Linked DNA regions of Caenorhabditis elegans. The protein of the gene in region 2 purifies or fractionates together with the protein of the main gene of each other region. This does not show direct contact. Each region holds a gene or a part of one and is shown on either strand. Other genes may lie near its edges.

The links.
Region 1: the proteins of meg-4 (region 2) and pptr-1 purify together in Caenorhabditis elegans (affinity purification with western blotting, with the first as the bait; one study listed by BioGRID). This does not show direct contact.
Region 3: the proteins of meg-4 (region 2) and pptr-2 purify together in Caenorhabditis elegans (affinity purification with western blotting, with the first as the bait; one study listed by BioGRID). This does not show direct contact.

Annotation. Positions count from the first base shown.
Region 1 is NC_003283.11:16,354,572-16,361,769, reverse strand, and holds the start of pptr-1 (Serine/threonine-protein phosphatase 2A regulatory subunit pptr-1), read right to left. Parts: upstream 4,250-7,198; 5' UTR 4,119-4,249; coding exon 3,958-4,118; intron 3,908-3,957; coding exon 3,837-3,907; intron 2,933-3,836; coding exon 2,634-2,932; intron 1,665-2,633; coding exon 1,441-1,664; intron 544-1,440; coding exon 375-543; intron 57-374; coding exon 1-56. UniProt on the Caenorhabditis elegans protein: Probable regulatory subunit of serine/threonine-protein phosphatase let-92 which negatively regulates the insulin receptor signaling cascade composed of daf-2, age-1, akt-1, akt-2 and sgk-1 by promoting the dephosphorylation of akt-1 on 'Thr-350'.
Region 2 is NC_003284.9:1,679,675-1,687,777, reverse strand, and holds meg-4 (J domain-containing protein), read right to left. Parts: upstream 4,825-8,103; 5' UTR 4,823-4,824; coding exon 4,765-4,822; intron 4,719-4,764; coding exon 3,248-4,718; intron 3,200-3,247; coding exon 3,116-3,199; intron 3,068-3,115; coding exon 2,921-3,067; intron 2,873-2,920; coding exon 2,738-2,872; intron 2,223-2,737; coding exon 1,945-2,222; intron 1,896-1,944; coding exon 1,570-1,895; 3' UTR 1,359-1,569; downstream 1-1,358. Other genes in the region: C36C9.11 (Transposase), read right to left, coding at 96-148, 200-238.
Region 3 is NC_003283.11:11,025,849-11,033,729, reverse strand, and holds pptr-2 (Serine/threonine protein phosphatase 2A regulatory subunit), read left to right. Parts: upstream 1-2,905; coding exon 2,906-3,050; intron 3,051-3,221; coding exon of another isoform or gene 3,222-3,267; intron 3,268-3,809; exon of another isoform or gene 3,810-3,925; intron 3,926-3,945; exon of another isoform or gene 3,946-4,086; intron 4,087-4,342; coding exon 4,343-4,408; intron 4,409-4,447; coding exon of another isoform or gene 4,448-4,459; coding exon 4,460-4,552; intron 4,553-4,598; coding exon 4,599-4,912; intron 4,913-4,955; coding exon 4,956-6,017; intron 6,018-6,073; coding exon 6,074-6,217; downstream 6,218-7,881.

The DNA.
Region 1 (7,198 bases), on a different chromosome or scaffold from region 2:
ACTTGTGGAGTCAGTGATGAGTCTTTTTCGATGAATTGAACGACGCAGTAGGCGAGCTGAAATAAGGAAATTTTTGAATTTTGCTCAAAAAACTGATCAATATAGTCTGAAATTCCGAAAAATCAGAAGAAAAGATTGAAAAAAAAAAACGATTTTTTTTTCAATTTCGGTAAAATTTTCCTTCTGACCAATCAGCGATCGGCTCCGCCCACTGTTCAACCAATCAGAGGGAGTGGGCGGAGTTCGGAAGCGCTGATTGGTCGGGGAGTCAAAATTAAAAAAAAAATTTTTTTTTTAAAAACGCGATTTTTTCCGGTTATTTTTTGTGGTTTTTCTGAATTTTAGAATTTTAAATTAATTTTTTTCTGTCTAACCTGTGCATGATACAGTGATAAGCATTTCGGTTTGTGCAATGGTAGAAGAACTTTTACAAGGAAAACCTTGTGCTCTTGCTTCAATGGAAGAGCAAATCCGTTTATAATTGAGCCAAGAATCTCGAGAAGCTCACCGACACCGTTGAATGAGTCCGTTTCGTATACGAATCTGCAAAAAATTGGAAATTGAAAAGTGGAAGAAGCTTTGTGTCGATTTACGCAGCGCTTTTACTAATTTTTCGCTAAAATTCACATTTTTTTGGACCAAATTCGCGAAATTTAACATTAAAATCGCCGATTTATTGTATTTTTATAGCAATTTATAATGTACTTACTGTTGAAAAACAAGAATTTTTTTAAATTTTCAACAGAAAATTCATCGATTTTCACCTAAAACACTTCAAAACAGGGATAAATTGGCAATTTTTAAGTTGGAAATTGCGAAAAAAAAGTCCAAAAAGTCCAAAACCGGTTATGTGTCGATTTACGCGCGCCGTGTACTCCTCGAGAAGAATAATTTTTTGATTGATTTTTAGCTAAAATGCTTGATTTTGAACCATTTTCGTGAATTTTAACACTAAAATCGCCGATTTATAGTAATTTAGGCCTGAAAAACTAGAATTTATCGTTTTTTTTGTATTTTTCAATGAAAAATTCATCGATTTTCGCTTAAATCTCTATTGAAAGCCAATTTTAATTTCAAAATTACAAAAAATTGTCCAAAAATCATGTTTTTAAGCCAAAAAATGAGCATTTTTCCTCGTGGAGTACACGAGCTCCGAATAAACGTGTACTCCTTGTGGAAGAGAGGAATTCCTTTTTTTTTTCAAATTTAACACAAAAAACGCTATTTTACATAACTTTTCACAAGTTTTCGGTATTTTTCAAAGAAAAATCACAAATTTTCACCCAAAACACCACAAATATGACAATTTTAATATCAAAAATTGCAAAAATGGTCCAAATCCATGAATTTTTGCCGAAAATTGAGCTTTTCGTTGCAATTTTCTCATTTTTAAGCCATTTTTTAGCGATTTTTCAGCGAAAAAAAAAATCCAGTATTCACCTCAAAAACATATTATTGATATGTTTGCGAATAAAAGCCCGAAGGCCCAAAAATTTTCCGTAAATACGATGAAGAACCGTCTTCAAAAAGTCTCGTTCACGTGGATCCTCCGAATCGAATAAATCGAGCAGCTTGAGCACAAATCTCTGATCAATATACTTTTTACCGATTGAAGCTTGGAAATCTGGCGACTCAAGGAATCTCAGGAAGAGCTCGTAGACAAGCTGCAAAATTCGTTTTTTTTTTTTTGATTTTAGGGCAGTTTTTCCAATTTTCAGTGAATTTTTGCAGATTTCTGATGATTTTAAGCATCTTTTAGCTCCCAATTTGGCCAGAAAATGGCCTAAAAACTCAAATTTTGTCGACTTTTCTGAGTTTCAGGTGAAATTTGGCCATAGAAGACGGAATTTCATAACAAAATTCATTAAAAACCGCTCAAAATCTCGAAAAATTACATATTTTCAGCTGAAATTTCAAATTTTGCCAACTTTCCAGGTTTCACAGCGGTCGGAAATTGAGAAATTGGCGATTTAGGCTGACATTCGACGAATTTTCAGCATTTTTTGATGGCCCGGAGCCATTTTGGGTATAATAGAGCAAAAATTGATTTTTTTAAATAGGGGTCTTTTGTAATAAAAATAATCAAAAATTGCTGAAAATTCCGAAAAATGGTCGAATTTCAGCCTAAATCGCCAATTTTTTAATTTCCGACCGTTGTGACACCGGGAAAGTTGGCAAAATTTGAGATTTCAGCTGAAAATGTCATTTTATGAGCTGTTGAGCGATTTTTAATGAATTTTGTTATAAAATTCCGTCTTTCGATGCCTTTCTCGGTCCAAAAAGTGGCCAAATGCCATCTGTAACACGGAAAAGTTGAGAAAATCAGAGTTTTTAGGTCATTTTGTCAATATTTTTTGATGCACTGGGGCTATTTTTGGTATATTGGAGCAAAAAAACGCGGTTTTCTGCTATAATTTTCAGATTTTCGATGTTTTCAGGATGTATCGGGGTTTTTTTTTGCCAAAAGGAAAACTAATAATTTTCCAGTCGAAAAAGTCAATTTTTTGGACCAAAAATTAGTGAAAAATGCACTTTTTGCTCTATTTTTCTGAAAATTGCATTTTTTTTTCGATTTTTTTTTGTCATTTTTCGGCTTCCTGGAGCCATTTTCGGGTTTTTCTTGCATTTCCAACCTGTAAATGTGGCCACGAGACTTCTAAAGTCGGTTCATCCTCTTCTGGATCAAATTCACAATTTTCTGATGGTGGAAGTACACGGAATATATTCTTGGCAACCATTTTAATGACAGCCGGATAAATTGTCTCAACAATTGCTCCTTTTGTCGATGTAATGTGATCGATGAGCTCATTTAGAGCTGCTCTTTTGATTTCTTTGCATTTCAGTTGAGCTACTGGATCATAGAAATCGAATACGTGCTGACATTGGACGAGCTTTTCGATAACGAGAGCCGGTTGCTCATTTGCAGCAGTATCTGGAAAAATTGAAGTTTTTAAAGATTTTTAGCGGTAAAATTGATTTAAAAGGCTCAAAATAAATTCAAATTTCGATAAAAATGGCGAAAATCTCAAATTTTGCAGCAGCAATTGAATTTCTTTTAAAAAATTGATGATTTAGGCCTTTTTTCGGGGTTTTAGCAGGGATTTTCGGCAAATTTTCACTGAAAAACCCGACAATTTCGGCTCAAAAAAAAACCGACAATTTCGGCTCAAATATTCTGAAAAAAGGCTAAATTTGAAATCGGCAATTTTTGCAGATTTTAGAGATTTCAGACGGCGTTTTTCAGAATTTTAGTTCAAAATTTGGCTCAAAAAGACCAAATTTTCTTAGTTTTGGGTTCAAAATTATCCGATTTGTCAAAAAATCTTTTAAAAAAAAGACTAAAAACTCCATTTTTACGAATTTGCAGCGACCGAAAATCGATTTTCATCGAAATATTCCTTTATTTTGAAGATTTTCGCGATTTCTAACGCGTTTTCCCGTCGATGTAGGTAAATTTTCACGAAATAATGTAAAAATACAACATAAAAAAGTTGATTTACTTGAAAATAGTGTAAGTTTTCGTTAAAAACTTTAAAAAGAATCACAAATTTTGTATAAAAGTCGAAATTCACACTTTTGGGACAATTTCCGACAATTGTAGGCTATTTTCCAACTTTTCAACGAAAATTATCCTAATTTTCAGGCCAATCGAGCATTTTTCAACATTTTTTCACTAAAATTAGCATTTTTGGACATTTTCCCTGAATATTTGCCTGGAATCGACTGAAAACTGCCAAAATCTGCGGCAGGGTGGCAAAATGCGAGTTTTTCGCTATTTTTTACTCAATTCTTCGAAATTTTTTCGGTTTTTCATCTAGAAAATCCAAAAAAATCACCTTTGATGAGCGCCAATTGTACGAGTTCTTGAGCCGAATCAACATTATATCGGCTGCTGTTGTTGATGCGCCTGAAAATATCGGGAAAAATCGATAAAAATAAATTAAACCAGCCACTCACAATCGTCTAGAAGTTCCTCTTTTATTATGGAACGGATCGATTTTATCAACAAATTGATTAGCTGTCGCCGAGAGTTGTTGGCCACCGGTGGCGGCTCCCTGTGTCCGTGGCGGCGGAATTTGATGCGGAGCGCCCGTTAGACTGTGCCCGCTTCCGTGCATTTTTTTTTTTGATTAAAAGAATTTATCTTCTTCAACGTCTTCTCGCCCTGGTTGTGTTCGAGCGAAGTGTTGAAACTTCGTGTAGGAGGGAGCAGAGAAGCAGACGGCGAGAGAGAGATTTCTGGGCGCTTCTGCAAAATGTATATATATATATATTGATTTTTTATTGCGAGAGAGTGAGAGAGAGAGGGTTTTTATTAACGCGGAATGGTGTAAAAGAGATAGGCAGTGGTTATCGAAATTATGATAAGAAGAGAGTGAAAGTAAATGGCAATGTAGGTCGACAAGTGATCAGATTCGGGAATAAAATGTATTGAAATGGGTTTTATTTAATTTTATTCAATTTTTAACCGAAAAAAACGCAGGAAAAACGCTCAAATTGTAGACAAAACATCGATTTAACGTAAAAAACAAATTAAAAAACGAGAAAATCTCCGATTTACATTGGAGCGCACTTACTGATCGGTGGTTTGCCGCGTTTTTTCTAGTTTTTAAAGCTTCCTTGTGGTAAAAATTTGCAAAAATGCCTTCATTAAATGAACAAAGCAATGGGCAATGGGGCCAATACACAGAAAAAGTGAAATTTTGAGAACTATCACAAAATTGATTAAAAAAACCATTTAACAAGAAAAACTAGATTCAAATTCCCGCTCCGCAAATTTATCAATGGAGCACGCTTGCGAATTTGTTTTTTATTTGTTTTTTTAGATGGAAAAACTGAATTTCGTCGAAATTTAGTTGAAGTTTCAGAGTTTTCAGCGTAAAAACTGCTTTAAAAATTAAAAAAAAATAAAACAACCGAAAATTCTGTATTTCTTGCTGGTTTGCTCACTTTTAGCGATAACCGCGGGGAAAATTGATAAATTTTGAGAGAGGAGTGACAGTTTTTGCTGGTGTAAAAATGTGCCAAAATAAACGAATTTCGTTTAATTTTACCTATGGCGGTTGAAAATATCGATAAAACTGGGCATTTTTATCTAAAATCCAGCTGGAAAACTAGCTTTGCCAATTTTTCGTGTCGGAAAAAATTTTAATTTCCTACCGCTACGACATATAAATTTTTGGAAAAATCGAAAATTTTGTCTAATTTTTAAAAATTATCAAGTTTTTTCGAAATTTTGAACTTCGAGGTCTGAATTAAAAAAAAGAAGCCTCCATAAAAAATTTCGGGAAATTTAAGAGTAGTCTCATTACAAAATTCGTTTATTTGAGCGCATTTTGAGTCTAAAAAAGCAAAATCCTTTAATTTTTCATGCGCATGACCTACGCAGTTCGCGCATAAATTATATTTTATTCCCTACAAAAAACACGAACAATGTTCCAAATCGCTTAATAAATTCAGTGAAAAAGTTGAAAAAAAGAGACAAAAAACTCTCGCTCTCACACGAGGTATAAACGTCAACGTTTTGTTGTCTTCTCTCACTCTGCCCAGCCACAGAGAGAGTTAGTTGATCGAGAGAAAAAAGACAATCTCTCACCCGATGAGCGCCGTTTGTGAGCGGCGCGAGCAGAGTTCGTGTGCATTCCGGAGTGCACAGTGATGCAGACACTGAGAAGACGTCGAGAGACGCAGACACGTCGTGCGCACTCGCGCACGCATTTGCACACGGAAAGGCCGGAGAGTGTGGGAGACCGAGAGAGAGAGAGAGAGAAGTAAAGGAATAATATACGCACACAGGCCATCACAGGCCACTGGAGACGACGGAGACGTGAAGAAAATGAAGAGGAGGGGCAGTTTATGGGGGTGGAAGTAAATACGGGGAGAAAAAGTGAGAATTTGCACAACTTTCAGATGAATAGAAAAAGCTTAATTAAAACGCAAACTTCTGAAACTTTTACCTAAAGGCGCAGAGGCTTAGTGGGATGGGTCTCGCCGCGAAAGCAAAGTTTATAGTAGCACTGATATCTAAAAAATGGAAGAAATTACACAAAAAATTAGCCGAGAAATAATTGATTGAAAATTAGAGAAATGACTTAAAATTATTTTTAAAAAGGCTTTTTATACGGAACAAAAGTCTTCTCGAAAATACGGTACCGGGTCTCGACACGACAAAAGTTTGTTAAATACGAAAAGGCGTGCACCTTTAAAGAGTACTGTAACTCCAAAGTTTTGTTGTTGTTGCGGAATTTTCATCGATTTTTTATAGTTTTGGACCGAAATTTATTTTTTTTAAAATATTTTTTTCTGGAAAAAAATAAGGAAACATTTTTGCTGATAAATATGAATTTTTCCGGTAATTTGAGAGAAAAACAGTTTTCGCTATTTTATAAAAAATGAATATTAGCTAAAATTCCACTTCTCCTCGCGGAGTACACGCTGCGCACCTGGTGCTGATCTACAAAAAATGCGGAAATTTTTTGTCCAAAAAAATGTAACGTCAGCACGTTCTTAACCATACGAAATCAGTTGAGAACTCTGCGTCTCTCTTCTCTCGCATTTCTTGTAGATCTACGTAGATCAAGCCGAAATGAGGCACTCTGACAACATGTGGCTGCGTAAATCGACACAGGGCGGCACATTCGCTACGTGGCCTAGAAAATCGCCAACACGGCCGCGATGCATCAAACTTGGCCGAGAAAAGTTAAAACTTCGGCCACGACCTCAAAACTGGGGAAGAGTTTTCTAATAAAAACCCGCGAAAACTGGTAAAAATCGATAAAGCAAAAAAAAAAAAACAAATGATCCAAATCAATTGATGAGTGTCTCTGTGTGAGTGAGTGGTGTGAGTGATTCCCGATTCAAATAAAAAAGATGATATTATCGGAGGTGGTCTTTTCACTGACAAAACATGTGCGTTACCACAAGAAAATACTGTAGAAACAAGACGAGACGCAGACGAAAAATATATATTATTATTATTTTCAACAATTTGTTCGACTAGTTTCTGTCCAACAGAAAAATGTATAAATGCTGAGCCTACTGGAATTATAGAAAGGATTTGAGAAGGAAGAGAGATTTGAGATTAGATTAATGTTGGCCGTGGAAAAGCGGGAGGATTATTTTCTGATGCTCGGCGAGCAAAGTGTTGAGCTATAGCTTGGATTAGATTTTTTCATTTAAAATTACAAAAATTCTAAGT
Region 2 (8,103 bases):
TTGGTATTTTTATAGGACGCTACTATGTATCTAATGTATACATTATTCCATAACCTTATTCCATGTTATTATAGATTTTCGAGAAAAGCACTTACAATGTGGGATTTGCATTAAAGATATTTTTCTCCTCGACTTGCCGATTCTTACTCTGAAATTAATTTCTGAAGGTTTTCGAAACTTTTTTGATACAAAAACTCACCAATTTACCATCTTGAGTCAGAAGATTTTTTGTAGACATTCGGGGTGCGGATAGCAGAAATTAAATTTCTGAAAGTAATGAAAATTAGCTTCTTGAAACTAATATAACTTTAAAACTCACCACACATACAATACATAAATTTTTTTAATTTGTTTTAATCCAGAAAAAAATGGTGGTGCCAGCCACACAAGCCGCCGCAGGAAGACCAAATGATACCTCCGGGAAAAAATTTTGATAAGAAAGTAGAGGAGCAGAGAAACAAAAACAATGAAAAAGTGTGTAGCGGACTGCAATAAAATTTTATATTAATGTAGAGTGACACACAAAAAGAAAAAGATGCTAAACAGTTTTCCTTCGAACTTTAAAAATATTTTAGTTTAAAAAAAATTTGAAAAAAAATCAAGTGTTTTTGATGGTTCTGGTGTTTCATTTAAATGAAACTATACTGTTTTATTTCATCAGGCTTAGGCTTAGGCCTATGCGTAGGCCTATGATTTGGCTTAGGCCTTGGCGTAGGCTTAGGCTTCGGATGTAAGCGATATTCTAGAAAATTTTGACTATGATAATTTGTCATTTTGGGATCATAGGAGTAGTTTTTAACAATTTCCCCTTTGGTTTTTTTGGATTTGGTCTGGCATGCTGCCACTGAAATGAAATTTCACAGGAAACACTGGATATCTAAGGCCAGCACTTAACATTGTTTTCATTCTTGAAAGCTGAAATCGCTAGTCAAATAGCCATCCAAGGAAAACACAACAAGTTTAAGGCGGGAAATGGCGCAAGTGGACGTTCAAAGAGAAGACCTTCAAATGAAGTTAGGCAGGCAAGTAGGCATGCCTATCAATAAAAATGTAGAGGGTAGTATCTAGTAGTATTAAGAAAACTTAACATTCCTATCCTTATAATCAGTAATTGCCAATTTGGATTGTTAATAACTTTTTATATTTCAGAGTCAACTACTAGAATTCTATTTATACGCGCCTATACCAATTTCCTCTACTGTGTTTTTCAGTACAAACGGAACCTTCGCTATCGTAGCGGATAAGTCTGAAGCATCGCTTTTGAAATTGAATCCGTGACCACTTTTTTGCCTAACTTTTACAAAAAGCCAAAGAAGAGACATATTTCTACTAATCAGTTGCCAATTATATACCTATTTCAAACATTCGCTTTATTGAAATTCAACTTTGAATTTTGAATGAGCAGCAGTCCTGATAACAATAGAAAACTACCCGTTACAAGTTCCTGGGCAGACCATAAATAAATTCACAAGAAGGAGCAAGTTGGAGTATAAAAAGAGTGGTTAAAAGGTCAATGAACAAGAATAAAATACAAAATACTCGACATGAAATAGATATATATCAGTACAATCATTGATCTCTGGGTGGGTCAAAAATAGATTCCAGCCATTCTCGTTTTGCATTCAAGTATCTGACAGGATCCGATTTCCGAAGATATACAAGGAGACACGCATCAGCAATTGAGATGATATTCTTCTGTCCGATACACTCCTTCCACAACATGTAGAGCATATTGGTGGAATCTGTGGAGCTGCTCGTATCGTCAAGCCGAGCCTGAACGAACTCGAGAGCAATATCTTTCTGAACTGCAAGGTCATTTGGATTTCCTAAGCAGGCTTCAGCAAACCGGAGAAACCATCTTCTGAATATATTTCGCACAGGTGGAACCCTTGGATCTGAAAAAATTTACGTTTTTCAAGATTAAATATGTCTTATCTTTCTTACCATCGGCATAAGGACCATCCAATCTTGGAATTGTCTCGGTGCAAAAATAATTCAAGTACAGCCATCTTTCAGGTGACATCCCGTGAATATTCAAATTCACTTTCAAGAGTTGTGTCTTCTCTTTGTAGTGAGCATCAATATAATCATTGAAGTCTTGTTGAGCTTCCAGGAATGCCGTCAAGCTATCAGAAATACGAGGTGGTGGTGAAGTTGGAGGTGCATCTTGAGAAGAATCTTCGGTCGGGTTGGCTGACTTGCAAGGGAGTGGGGCAGGCTGACTGAAAAAAAAATTAATTGTACTTGGAAAGTATGTTACAGAAATCGAATCAAGCTGTGCGGCAAAAATTTATATATTCTGAGGAAATTAAATTTATTAGCGGGCTCGCAATTCACCGTTTAGTAATTATAATATCAAGTGATTAGACTGGGCTCCAGGGATGTGTGGAAAATCTCAAAAGTTGCCGAGCACTACTAAATTTTTGGCGACAAAATCCATAGCTTTGATCAAAATTGTCTGAGCTCGGCAAACGGCAAATTAGGCTAATTCGGCAAAGTTGTTTCGGCAAAACCGTACAAATTTGCCGCACACCTTCTGGGCAATAGACAAAAGCAGAGGGCTTTTTGCGGAGTTGTGCAAGATTAATGCTCTATTTTTTTACTCGAGAGGTCTAGTCTTGACCTCAATCTACTCAACTTGCACATTATTTTCCATATGTTTGATCCACGATTTTTTGAGAATTCAGAAATTTATATAATACGAAACTCATTGCGAATTTATTGATTTGGGCCTTACCTGGTGGCTTCAGAGGACCATCTCCCGGCTTGGTTGTTCACTTCAGCCATACGATTATCACAATTGATTCCACTTCTTTTCGGAGTTGGGCAACCATTACAATCTATGGAAACTGGATTTCCGGTACAATGAGAGCTGGAAAAGAACATTTAAAAATGTTGTTTGTTCTTTGTAGTTCCATACCTTTTCAGTCCATCAAGCCCTGGAGTCAACTTTCGAGCGATTCGGTTTCCTGAAGTTGCTTCCTTCCCAGAAACCGTGGCGGAGTACATTGGTGACTTTGTGAGTTTCGAATCAATCATGCCAAGTGACTTGTCAATCTTTGAAGACCTGCAATACAAACATAATGAAAAAAGCAGCTCCAAGTGTAAAACTAACTTGTTGGATGCTGTCAGACATTTTTCTCCGATCAAAGCCTTCGGGCTTGTGATGATTGACAAGGAAGGTGTTCTCTGATCCTTGCTGAAATTCAAACTTTTACTAAATACTTCACTTTTTATCACTACATACCTTGAGAAAGCACGTTTTGTAGATTTCGGCTTCCCAGGGTCCCCATGAAGTAAACGTCTCATTTCCTCAACGTTGGCATCAAAAGTTCCTGTCCACTTTCTTCTTGAGATCTTTGGAGGAGAACTCGGATGTGGACTTGGTGTGGGTTCGACATCTTCTTCTACAGTCTCCAGCGTCACGTCAAGACTGGCGAGACGGGACGCACTACGAGAACTTCCACGACGATGTTTCTGCACTGAAGTTTTCTTCGAAAGATTTTCTGGCAGGGTTCGATTGTTTACATCCAGAAAACTGGAGTCGAAGTCTTCACCAATTGAGCAATTTAGATCACTTCTAGCTGGTAATGTCCGATTCAAATTGCTGCATTCTCCGTGAGAACTGGAAGCTGAGTGCAAGTGTTGTCCGATCTTCATGCTGACAATTTCCAGTAACTGTTCCACAGAAAGTTCGGTGCCGTCCTTGCTGAACACATTGGATTTCAGATTACGTTGAGCAGCTCCTCTGGAAGAGTTCAGTTTCTCCGCCACTTGACTGCCAGCATCCTTCGTTCCGCGAGACTGTTGTTGAGATTTGTTAGTGACAGATTTTGGACCGTTTGCAACACCATTGGAATCTTCTATGAACACGTCGTCAGACAGTTCATTGTCATCTGTGTTGTAGAAAGCACGATCCTGGACATTAGTGCTCCCATGTGATCTTCTTCTATCGTTTCTTGATCCTTCTTGATGATGCTTCCTTGTTAAAGCTTCATTAATAGTAAATCCGGAAAAGCTCTGGTTCAAATTCCGCGGCTTGAAGACATCATGCTGTTGGCCAAAACTAGAATTGATCGAATTGATAAGCTCATTTCCAAACATGCCTCCATATCTCTTGTCCTTGTGATCTCCAGGAGCTTGAACTCCAGCTTGAGCGTTGAAGCTTTTATTTCCATGAAGTTGTTGGTAAGCCTTGGTTTCTTGTTTCTGGAACCCAGCTGGAACGGAACTCCCACTGAATGACACATTCCCAGCATGGCCATGATTGTTCGATCCATCCGAGAAGCTTCGGCCAAGTTGTCCATTCGGACGGCTTCTACTGTGCCCTGTATTTGACTGCTGAGTGTTGTACTGATAAGTGGAAACTGACAAGTTCCGTTGATTCCAGCTGGAGTTATTGCGTGTCTGCGAGTTTTGACGGAAGTCTGCAGAGAACACGGGGGCCGTTGGAGGAATGCTCGATGAGTTGAAGACGTTTCTGTTAGCTCGAGCTGCATTCATCGATTGATTAATCGAGTGATTCAACTGGTCGCCGTTCATGGAAGGATTCCCGTTAAAAGACACGGATCCGTGGTGAGATCTGCCACCATATCCACGGCTTGTTGACTGAACACCGTCTTGCTTTACGAACGAATAAAACAATTCTTCAATACTAATGTGGTGTCCCATATTTTTCGATGCACTTTCCAAATTGCTTCGACTATGAGAGCGGTGACCTGAAATTACAAATTGAAGAAAAAAATTGATTTAAAAAATGCTTACCTTCTCTGTTTCCTCTGGAGTTTGGCAGATCACATGAGGAAAGCTTTGAAGAACTCATACCTGCAACAAAAAAAACTTAATGAAATATTACAAAATGTAAAAATGTAAAAATGTAAAGAAAATAATGAGGGAGAGAGGAATTAATGAAAACCGGTGGGACCAAAAAGCAAGAATGGAGACCTGTGAGTGAGTGAGTGCGAGAAGTGAGAGAGTGAGAGAGGTAGAGAAAGAGAGCGCGAAATAGTGTGTGGGGAAACGGTCAGGGGAATGCATGCGCGCGGCAAAAACACAGTTAAAATGCGGCAGGGGTATTACCAAAACAACACAAAACGTTTGTATGGTACCGGCTGTTTTTCAAGAGTATTGGAGGTTTGAGGAACAGTTGAGTAAAAAGTCGGATATTGATAGTTAATTCTCTGGAATATTGGTGACCGGAAAGATAATCACTGAATAAAACACGAGAAGAAGAAAAATAAGGAAAAATCTTTGGTTCCGTGTACTTGTTAGTTTAAAGGTGGAGTAGCGTTTGTGGGTTTTTTGTACCTTAATGACAAAATAGAGTTTCAATGTAAATATCGAATAAAACTGTAAAAAAATTCCGAACATTTTCTTTGAAATTTTATGATTTTTTTCAATTTTGCAAAAAAAAAGGGCCGAATTATTTTTCAATTCCAGCGCAAATTATTGACCTGATCTTTGACATTTTTCTTAATATTTTCTTTGATTTAAAACTTAAAACTTTAATTTTTCACAGTTTCATACATTTTTCAGTAATGTTTCAGTAAAGTAAGTTAAAATTAATACTGAATTATCGATTTTTAGACTAATTTCAGCGTTTCCAAGTGAGCAGCCAATTTTCTTTACGGAAAAATGTCTGAAAATGTGGCAAGTAAAATTTCAAATTATGACACAAAGAAAAAATGAAGAAAACTCAAACAGTTTGCCACGTGGGATCAAATGAAAATCTTGAGGACTGTGGTCGATAACTTCTGCCAATTAATTTTCTAGACTGTCTCATGTTTCAATACCAAAATGAAATCATTAAATACTGCCAGGTTGCCCCACGTGGCAAAATTTTTTTTTTTTTTTTTTTTTGGTTTTTTTCTACAGGTCTTGCCTGGATAAATGCCGTATGTAAGCTGTAAGACAGTGGAACGAACACTGAATTCCCATTTAAGGCTGGAAGGACCTAGGAGGTGGGGGTCGAACTTGTGACCTTGTGATTGCAAGCAGCGCGCATAGGCACTGAGCCATGCACCCCCCGGAAGCATGAGTCACTAATAGGGGTGGCTATAGGTCGACCTAGGTCGACCTGCGACCTAGAGGGTTAGGTCGCATCGCGACCTAGGTCGCATTGCGACCTGCGACCTAGCGACCTGGGTCGCTTTGCGACCTGCGACCTAGCGACCTGGGTCGCTTTGCGACCTGCGACCTAGCGACCTAGGTCGCATCGCGACCTGAATTACCGACATTTTGTTCTCTTTCGGTTTTGATTCACTTGAGTTGTTAAAATCCGTATAACTCGAAAACTAAAGATTGCAGAATATGTATGATATATTCCACTAACATTTTCTCTATTAAGATTTTATAAGTTTATGCGTAGTTTTTTTTCAAAAGTACGGAACAAAGAATTCATTTCTACAAATAAAACCATGCATTTCAGCAAATTTTTTCAAAAAGTTCACGTTTTTGTGGTTTTTGTTGTTTCTAAAATTTCATTTTCCACTTTTCGAATTAAAAACGTAGAAAAAAGCAGCAAATCCGGCGGATGTCGGCTGTTCTAACTTTTTTCGACAAGGTGTCTTATGGATGAGAAATCGAAAACAATGTAAAATAAATGATTTGTAGCAATTTGTTAGTATAAAAATTGTCGGTAATTCAGGTCGCAATGCAGTTTTCGAGTTATACGGATTTTAACAACTCAAGTGAATCAAAACCGAAAGAGAACAAAATGTCGGTAATTCAGGTCGCAATGCGACCTAGGTCGCTAGGTCGCAGGTCGCAATGCGACCCAGGTCGCTAGGTCGCAGGTCGCAATGCAACCCAGATCGCTAGGTCGCAGGTCGCTAGGTCGCAGGTCGCAATGCGACCTAAATGAAAACAGCGACCTAGCGACCTAGGTCGCACTCTTGCCACCCCTAGTCACTAATGAATTATATGAAATCGATCGCCGGAGAAGCTGCAAGCAGCATACAAAGGATCTTTTTTATTTTTTATTTTCAATTGATCTCTCTAGAGTGGCTTTTCTTATAAAATATTGAGACTTTTCCAAAGTCTCTATATGCGTTGTAACCAAAATTCCCAAACTGCCAAGCAAGTATTTATAATGAGTTCAAATTCGAAATGGGGAAATTGTTTTAAAACACGCCTATGTTACCACAATGACCGAATATCATGATAAAAAATTTTCTAGATTTCATATGATTTTTTGAAAATTGCAAAAATCTCAGTTTTCCTCTAATTCCTATTCGAATTTCCGCCGAATGAATTCGTTCGCTGGAGCGCACTTGCATTATTTTTATTAATTTATTTTATTTTTTCTCATTATTACACTGATTTTCTTCATTCTTTGTGTATTTTTATCGGAAAACAAGAGAGAAGATAAATGCAAATTATTTATTTAAAAATAACTGAGAATGGGTGAAACTGTGAAATAAGCTAATTTCAGGCTTGCTATCGTCGGAACTCATAATTTTACAGTTTTACCCATTTTCAGTGATTTTTAAATAAATAATTTGCATTTATCTTGAATTTTTCTCTCTTTTTCCGATAAAAATACACAAAGAATGAAGAAAATCAGTGAAATAATGAGAAACAATATAATAAATTAATAAAAATAATGCAAGTGTGCTCCAGCGAACGAATTCAATTGGCGGAAATTCAAATAGGAATTAGGGGAAAACTGAGATTTTTGCAATTTTCAAAAAAATCATATAAAATCTAGAAAATTTTTTTGAATTTTTTATCATGATACGTAAATATACAACACTTATTGCTCACTTTTTTGTTTTAATTTTTTGTTTTTCATTCAATGGTATCTCATTCTTGCTTCTCATTTACAATGTTTTCACCGAGAACGTAAAATAACAGTTAAGTAACCATTGAAATCCGAGTGGAATTTGAACTTAAAACAAACAAAAAAAAAAATTGAATAGGAGTGTGCGGCTGACTGATTTTTTCGGCTTTCAGCTGGTACAGCGAGCTCTGCTAAAATTTTTACTATCCTATAAATTTTCTATCAGACGAAAATTTGTCGGTCGGCTGTCGGTTGGCTTTACCAGCAATTCCAATTTATCAACTGAGTAACTGTCATTTTTTGACAACTTTCAAACTTTTTTT
Region 3 (7,881 bases), on a different chromosome or scaffold from region 2:
CATCAACCACAAAAAAGAGAATAAAAACGTCAAAGGAGAAGAAAAGAAAAGGCGAAAAAAGAGAAAATGCTGTATGAGGCTACATGTCCGTGTCTTTTCGTGTATCTTCGTTTGCTCTCAATGCTTTTTTCGTTATTCTATTCGGGTTGATTTTCCTTTTTTTTTACTCACTCTTTATTCTTTGACTGATACATCTTTACATTTGAATTCCGCAACTTGGAAGTTTACGATATAAAGTATAGTTGAAGCTAAATTAGGTCGCAGGTGATACATTCGTATTCTGGGAATTCAGATTATTCTAAGAAAATATTTCAGTCTTCAGATTGGTTACTATAACAATCAGATGGCTCGGCTACTCAGCATGAAAAATAAATGACACATACCAACCTTAACGGTTGCTTTTCTAGAAAGCAGATAATTTACAGAATTATTATATAATGTAAAAATTAAATTTTTTAAATACGTGTTGACTTCAAACATTCACCAGTAATTTTTAGAGAAACATAAAATCGTCAATCGAAAAAATGTCTTTCGAAACGCTTTAATTATGAAGGTACCTTTCTCAAAGTTACTTAGAAAAAACATTTTTAACGTAGTATTATTTTGAAAATCTAAACTATATTGTTGAATGATTTCATATTGTGAAATTATTTCAACGCTTGAAAACTTCCAATTGACTTTGGGTTTTTGACATTTTTTTTGAATTGGTATTATGAACTGTAAGCTTTAAATACAAAAGCTCATTATCAAGGTTTTGATAAAAAATTGTTATCTTTTTCGAAACGCGTTAGTAAATAGAAAATTGCTTTCTAGACGATTATTTATAAGTTAAGAGGATTTATCAGTGAATTCCCTGAATGTGTTTTCAAAGATTTTCGAACATTTATTTATTTTTCCTTTTTGGTCTCCAGCGACAAATTATTTTTCTATTCGAATATTTTTTCTGTAGCCGGGTCATCATGGAAATATTCCAATAGACTATTGAAGACGGATGAGCATTATTTCCGCACGTAAGGGACTTTGGGATTTTACGCTGGTTCAATGCCATGCATATACTCACAATAGCCAATTCCTTTGTGCTCTTTGATTTTCAAAACAGAAATATGATGCCAATACTGGCGCCCAGACCCCGGGACAAGATTTCATTTCTTCAACTAGTTTCACCCTCCGTCATCACGTGTCAGTTTTTAACGATTTCTAACAAAAATGTATGTTTTTGTGTCTAGGAACGGCAATGTTGAATATTTTGTTTTTCTAGAGTCTTACTTGTTTCAGCTTCGATGAAACCCGTTTTTTTAAATATAATTGAAAAGTGGATAAAAATTGGTTCATTATAATTAGAGATAGTTTAAAACAATACCCTAAAAATCCCAACAGTTAGAAGGGACTTATTCATTAATTAGTTGCTGGCTAAGTTTTCTATTTATATAATTACTCTCGAAATTTATCAATCGATTCTTGGACTTTTTTGTTCCGCAGACGCCGGCGGAGTTTACAAGCGTACGATGTGGTTCAACTTTTAAAGCTTTATAAATGGGGCATGTATGAATATTTCGAATTCTAAATCTATAATATTAAAACACAAACGCATCTAAATTATTGGTGTCGATAAGTATTTTTCAAGCGGTGAATCATCTGTGTTCACACAAATAACCAGATAAAAATGAATAAAAACATTTTAAGCTTGTTTAGAAAATTAATTAGTTTAAAACTTGATTCAAGACGGCACGATGCTTCTGACCGTTTTTATCCTTTCTAATTTATTTTTTTTATCGTATTACTTGCAATGGCATCACTTGATCACTGAACCTTCAAGGAAAAATAGAATGTTAAATTCAGAAAAAGTCTTAAATCTAGAAAAAAAAAACTCGGTGCACAAAAGTACATCAATTTTTTGTCTGTGATCAGCTACAATTCATTGCATATTCGTATAGAATATATTAAAAAAAGTTCCTAGATTTATTACTCGTTTTTTCACCAGTTATTTCTGCTTTCTTACGAAAACGCCTTTTCTCATTTTGCTTGTCAAAAAACACGCGATATGTGAGCCACAACAGAATTCTAATTGCTTGTTTCTATGTTGGGGGCACCACACAATTTCACCTGTTTTTCAGCAATCCAGCACGACCGCTATTTTCTTTGCTTCATGGGTTCACTTTTGGCAAACCCATAAAATATTTCGTATACTTATATGTCAAGTATTTGTATCTTACGAGTAAGACTGCCAAATTCTTCCTGCTCTCTTTTTTTCATCAGAATCTGATCCTTGACATCGTCTACTCTTTTACTCTCAAAAGAGCAGCAGTAATTGGAAATTGAAGAGGATGAAGCTCGATCTTTAAGGAAAAAACGAGAGAAAAGAAGTGGGCTGGTTAATCGAAAATTGCGCTGAAAAAGCAGAAGACGAGCTGTAGGAAAAAACGACAAAGCGTGGGAAGAGGGACGGCGCCGTTTGCTCCGCGCTTTTTATTTTTCGTCTTCCGATTTCCGAAGTGACGATGGTTTTTAAGTAAAGACAGATGATTTTTCTCATTCATGTAGTGATGTCATTTTTTGTTAGTTAGAGCCACATGGAATTCCATGGTTTTGCATTCCATTAATTCCTCTCCTACAGTTAATCATACTGCTTGAGATTGCATTTATTACATAGGTTACTGTAGTTTTCTAAAAAACAGATTTGGGTGCATATGTGCATGTTATCATGTGTGTTCTCAGTTTTTCCCCGTTGCTTTGAAAACATAATATCTCTTGTCAACAACGTTTTTCCACTTTTGAAACAATGAAAAATGGTCACTTGCTCAGTTTGTTGTCCCTTGTATTCTCTTTTTAATTTTTTAAAGGTCTCTTCATACTTTTATTGAATTTTTCATGTTGTTAATTTCAGGCGGTCGGCTCCGCATCCGCAATGTTGAGATCAAAGAAGAAGGACAAGGAAAATGGGAAATCAGAGAAAAAGGACAAAGAGAAGGATAAGAAATCAATGAAAGATGACGGTGCTGGAAGCAGTAAGGCATCTACAATTCCTACGATCCGAACAGAAGATGTTGGAGGTAAATTAATGTTTTGATTATTCGGGAAAGATGATAACACAAAATTTTAAAAAAGTCAATTTCAATAAAATCTCACGTGAATCTATATTCTTCCACGGTTCTCCGAGAGCATAATTTTTCATCATTTCTTTCTAACCATCGAGTAATTTCAACCATCAACCAAAGATAGCAATGAATAAAATGCCACAGAGATCAAAGAAAAGACGACAGAAAACGAGTAAGTAGTCTAAATTATTTGAGAACATTTAGGAGTAAGAGTGGTTCCTATCGTAGAGTTTTGAGAATTCTTCGAAACGAGCGGAGATCGTTGTGAGACCCTGTGAAGACAATACAGCGAGCCTATAAAGTTTAGATTACGGCGTGTCGAATTTTATCATGAAAACATATACTATTCGGAAACAAAAACAACATGATTCGAGATTAAGGTTTTGATTAGAGTTTTCTTCAGTAAATAATTTTTGAAGCTGTCCTCCCTTTCAGCATCTTATAGTTCTCGAGGTAGGCAGGTTTTTGACCACTTGCATTTTTTTGAATAACTGAAATGGATGCAAAGTATAAATAAGTAGAAATGTATCGGATCTGAAATCAAATGCACTACATTTTATGAAGATATTGAGTGAAAATATTTATCAGTTAGATGGGGGAGGAACAAGCCATCCAACCAACAACAAGAAATCTGTGAGCCCTCAAGGCACACTATTGATGTCCAACTTTTCCACAAACTCCTTCAAACTCTTCTTCTTTTTGCCCCCCCCCCCCCATTTTCTTTATTTCTCACAGAAAAAACGACCTTCTTTCTTCTCTGCGCCTGTCTTGCTCCTTTAGATTTCTTTTCTATCATCAATTTACCCTACTCTTCTTCTATTTCTCGCGTTATTTTGTATCACGGAAGAAGGTATTAGAAATAATTCGAATAGGATAGTTGGAACGGATTAGGACTCCAGCTCAATTAGTTTGATTGTGTTTTTTTGGTTTGTTACGCCTTTCCTGTAGTCTTTTTGCAGCGCATACCAAAGAAAAAAACATTTTAGTGTTCTGGAGAAAATATTATTTTGTTCATAGTAGATATTTTCTTACAAACGCTTAGACATTTCGCTATTTCCCCAACTTCACGAAACAACTTTTGTAGTGTACATTTGAATTTGAATTTCCCGCGTAAATGCTCGACGAGGCCGCAGAAATCGAAAATGGGATAGTTAGTCCACCACTAGTGTACTCCTCTCGGATAAATTTTTTTTTGAATCACAATCATTGATTTTTCCATTTTCGGCCCTCATATTTATCATTTCTAGGAGATATGATTCCTGCAGATGCACCACCACCAACAAATATTGGCCGAACAAACACGTACGGAGGAGGTTAGTGTTTAAACGAAGACTAATTAACTATAGAGACAGATTTAATTTCAGGGCCAGTGATACCGCGAAGAGAGCGCCGCCAATCAAGTAGCATGTTCAACATTTCACAAAACAGAGAGCTGCAAAGACTTCCAGCTATCAAAGGTAATAATGTTTTTTTTAATTACCGTATTGATAAACTCGTTTTTAGATGCGGATCCGAGCGAGAGAGAAACACTGTTCATTCAAAAACTTCGACAATGCTGCGTTGTTTTTGACTTTGCCAATGATGCTCTCAGCGATTTAAAATTCAAAGAAGTCAAACGGGCAGCTCTAAATGAACTCGTCGACCACGTTTCCGGAGCTCCAAAAGGATCGCTATCTGATGCTGTCTATCCAGAAGCTATCGGCATGTTCTCCACTAATCTTTTCCGTCCTTTGAGCCCACCGACCAATCCAATTGGTGCTGAATTTGACCCCGATGAAGACGAACCAACATTAGAAGCTGCCTGGCCACATCTGCAGGTAATATTTATTTTCTGCTCTTATTTAAAGTAAATATTTTCAGCTCGTCTACGAGTTTTTCCTGAGATTCCTGGAGTGCCCCGATTTTCAATCTCAAGTTGCAAAACGTTACATTGATCAAAATTTCATTCTTCGTCTTCTCATGATTATGGACAGTGAAGATCCACGTGAACGTGACTTTCTGAAGACAACTTTACATCGAATTTATGGAAAGTTCCTCGGACATCGTGCTTACATTCGGAAGCAAATCAACAACATTTTCTACTCGTTCATCTACGAAACTGAGAGGCACAACGGGATTGCTGAATTACTCGAGATTCTAGGTAGCATTATCAATGGATTCGCTCTTCCCTTGAAAGAGGAACACAAAACTTTCTTGCTCCGAGTTCTTCTTCCGCTACACAAGGTCAAATCATTATCTGTATATCATCCTCAACTCGCGTACTGTGTCGTACAGTTCATTGAAAAAGACTCATCACTGACAGAGCCTGTAATCAGTGGGATGCTACGCTTCTGGCCAAAACAACATAGTCCCAAGGAAGTGATGTTCCTGAATGAATTGGAAGAAGTCCTCGATGTGATAGAGCCGAATGAGTTCCAAAAAATCATGACTCCATTGTTCTCACAAATTGCTCGCTGTGTCAGCAGTCCACACTTCCAAGTTGCCGAACGAGCTCTCTACTATTGGAATAATGAATATGTGATGTCATTAGTAGCGGACAATGCTCGTGTGATAATTCCAATAATGTTCCCTGTTCTTTTCAAAAACAGCAAGTCACATTGGAATAAAACGATTCATGGACTTATCTACAACGCCCTCAAGATGTTCATGGAAATGAATCAAAAACTGTTTGACGAGTGTTCCCAAGCTTATCAGAAAGATCGAGTTCAAGAAAAGACATTGAATGAAGAAAAAGAACGCATCTGGAACAATATTGAGAAACAGGCAATGGGAAACCCGCAATATGTTGAAGTTAAAGCACTATTTGCTCGATTTAATCCAGATGAAATCATCAGCTCGCGTCAGCAGAATGGAGTTGACGAGAATATGAAGACTTCAACTGTGCTTAGCAAGGATGAAATTCTGAAAAATGCTGTAGGAGTGGTAAGTTACAAAAACCTAGAAATATTTTTTTTTTGTACAATAACGAATCATTACAGAGCTCGATGAAAAACGATATGGATTTCGGACCCAACCACAAACAATCCGATTTCCCTCCAGATGAGCAAACGACGAGAGCTTTAGGCGAGTACAAGCGTCACGATCCATTTTTGAAGAAAGTGACTAGCACCGACGAACAGTGATGCAGAAGACTTCAACGGGTGCCAATTTCTCCATGTTGTGCCGGGTTTATTATACGATGATTCGACTTCCTTACCCAGTTTCCGTTCCTTTCTTAAAATATTGACCATTCCATGACCCTTATCACCGTTTTATTGCTCTCCAAAATTGCCCTTAATCACATCTATGTTTGCGTACCTGTAAATATTTCGAAACTTATTTCAGTTTTATCAATATGCACCATAAATTCCATCTCTCCTCACCATCATCGCAAATCCAAATGCGACTTTTCATTGTGTAATAATTTCCCCCATTTTGGTAGTGATTTGGATTTAGATGTTATAAATGAATCGAGAAGCCATGTGAAATACATTAAAATCTGCATAGGAATAATCATGGGAATATATATTAGGCAGAAGGTTTACGAGGGGTTTGGCTCATTTCATCCAAATCCTTCTTTATATGTTCTTTTTCGAATGCTAACCCCACTCTTTGCACATCAATATGCACTTATGTATGAAATACACGAAATGAGACGAAGGAGCATTATAAGCGTTTAGGAATAAACAAAGAACTGAAAAAGCAGAGAGAAGATCATAAATCCATGAGACGAATTTTTGTTTGTTTCTGACTCACTTCGTCATATTTCTTCTCCAGGGTTTACTTTATCTTTTTTTTTCTTATGATTTCTCTGTTAGTCTTTGGAACATTTTACTTTAAAACTCATTATCGCAAAGTCGCTTTCATTTATTTTTAAACAAGATTTATAAAACTTTAACAGGATGATTCGTTGTATTTCAATCTAATGACAATTTTAAAATATTAAAATCACCATTAGTAAATACGGTTCCCGGTCTCGAACGCGACAGTTTTTGTTAAATACAAAAATGTGTGTGTCTTTCTATAAAAAATCCATGAAAATTCGAAAGCAGCGAAAATTAGAAACTACAGTACTCTTTAAAGACGCACACATTTTTGTATTTGACAAAAATTGTCGTGTCGAGACCGGGCACCGTATTTTCGGAGCAAAAATCGCCAACTTTCGGTTAAGGCGATTCTTTTTAGTTCCATGAAAATAAGGAAATTTTTGTTATTTAATTTTCCTTGAAATTAGTTGGTTTGGTTCTAATGGGTATACCTTGCCGAAAATGCAAAAAAAATTGCATTTTTGGCAGAATTGAACTTAGACAACTTAGACGATTGTCAGAATCTTAGACAATTGAATTAATGCAACTTATTCGAATATTTTACAATAAAAGCGAATAAGCCACAGCCGGAGCAGACATGATGAAATGATGAAATGATGAGAGTAATAAAAGTGTGGCAAATGTATGACAACCAGAATGAGGAAAGGATACACTTGGAAGAAATTGAGACAATGAATGACATCTATTCATATTCTTTCTGTTCTTTTTAAAATATTATTCTAGAGTTGTTTACTGTAATATTACTAGATTTATTCACTTTTGAATTCATTCGTAACATTTTCAGTGAATTCACATTCGATCAGAAAATGTGGTAAATGTGATTTACAACGAAGAAAATTTAACGATATATAGTTTTTTAAGTGACAAGCCAACCACACTCGAGTATCGTTAATTCGCAAAAAAAAATGACAATACCCAAAAATAGTTCATTTGATATAGAAAAAGAAATTACCAAATTGAAACTCCATGTCAGGATTTAC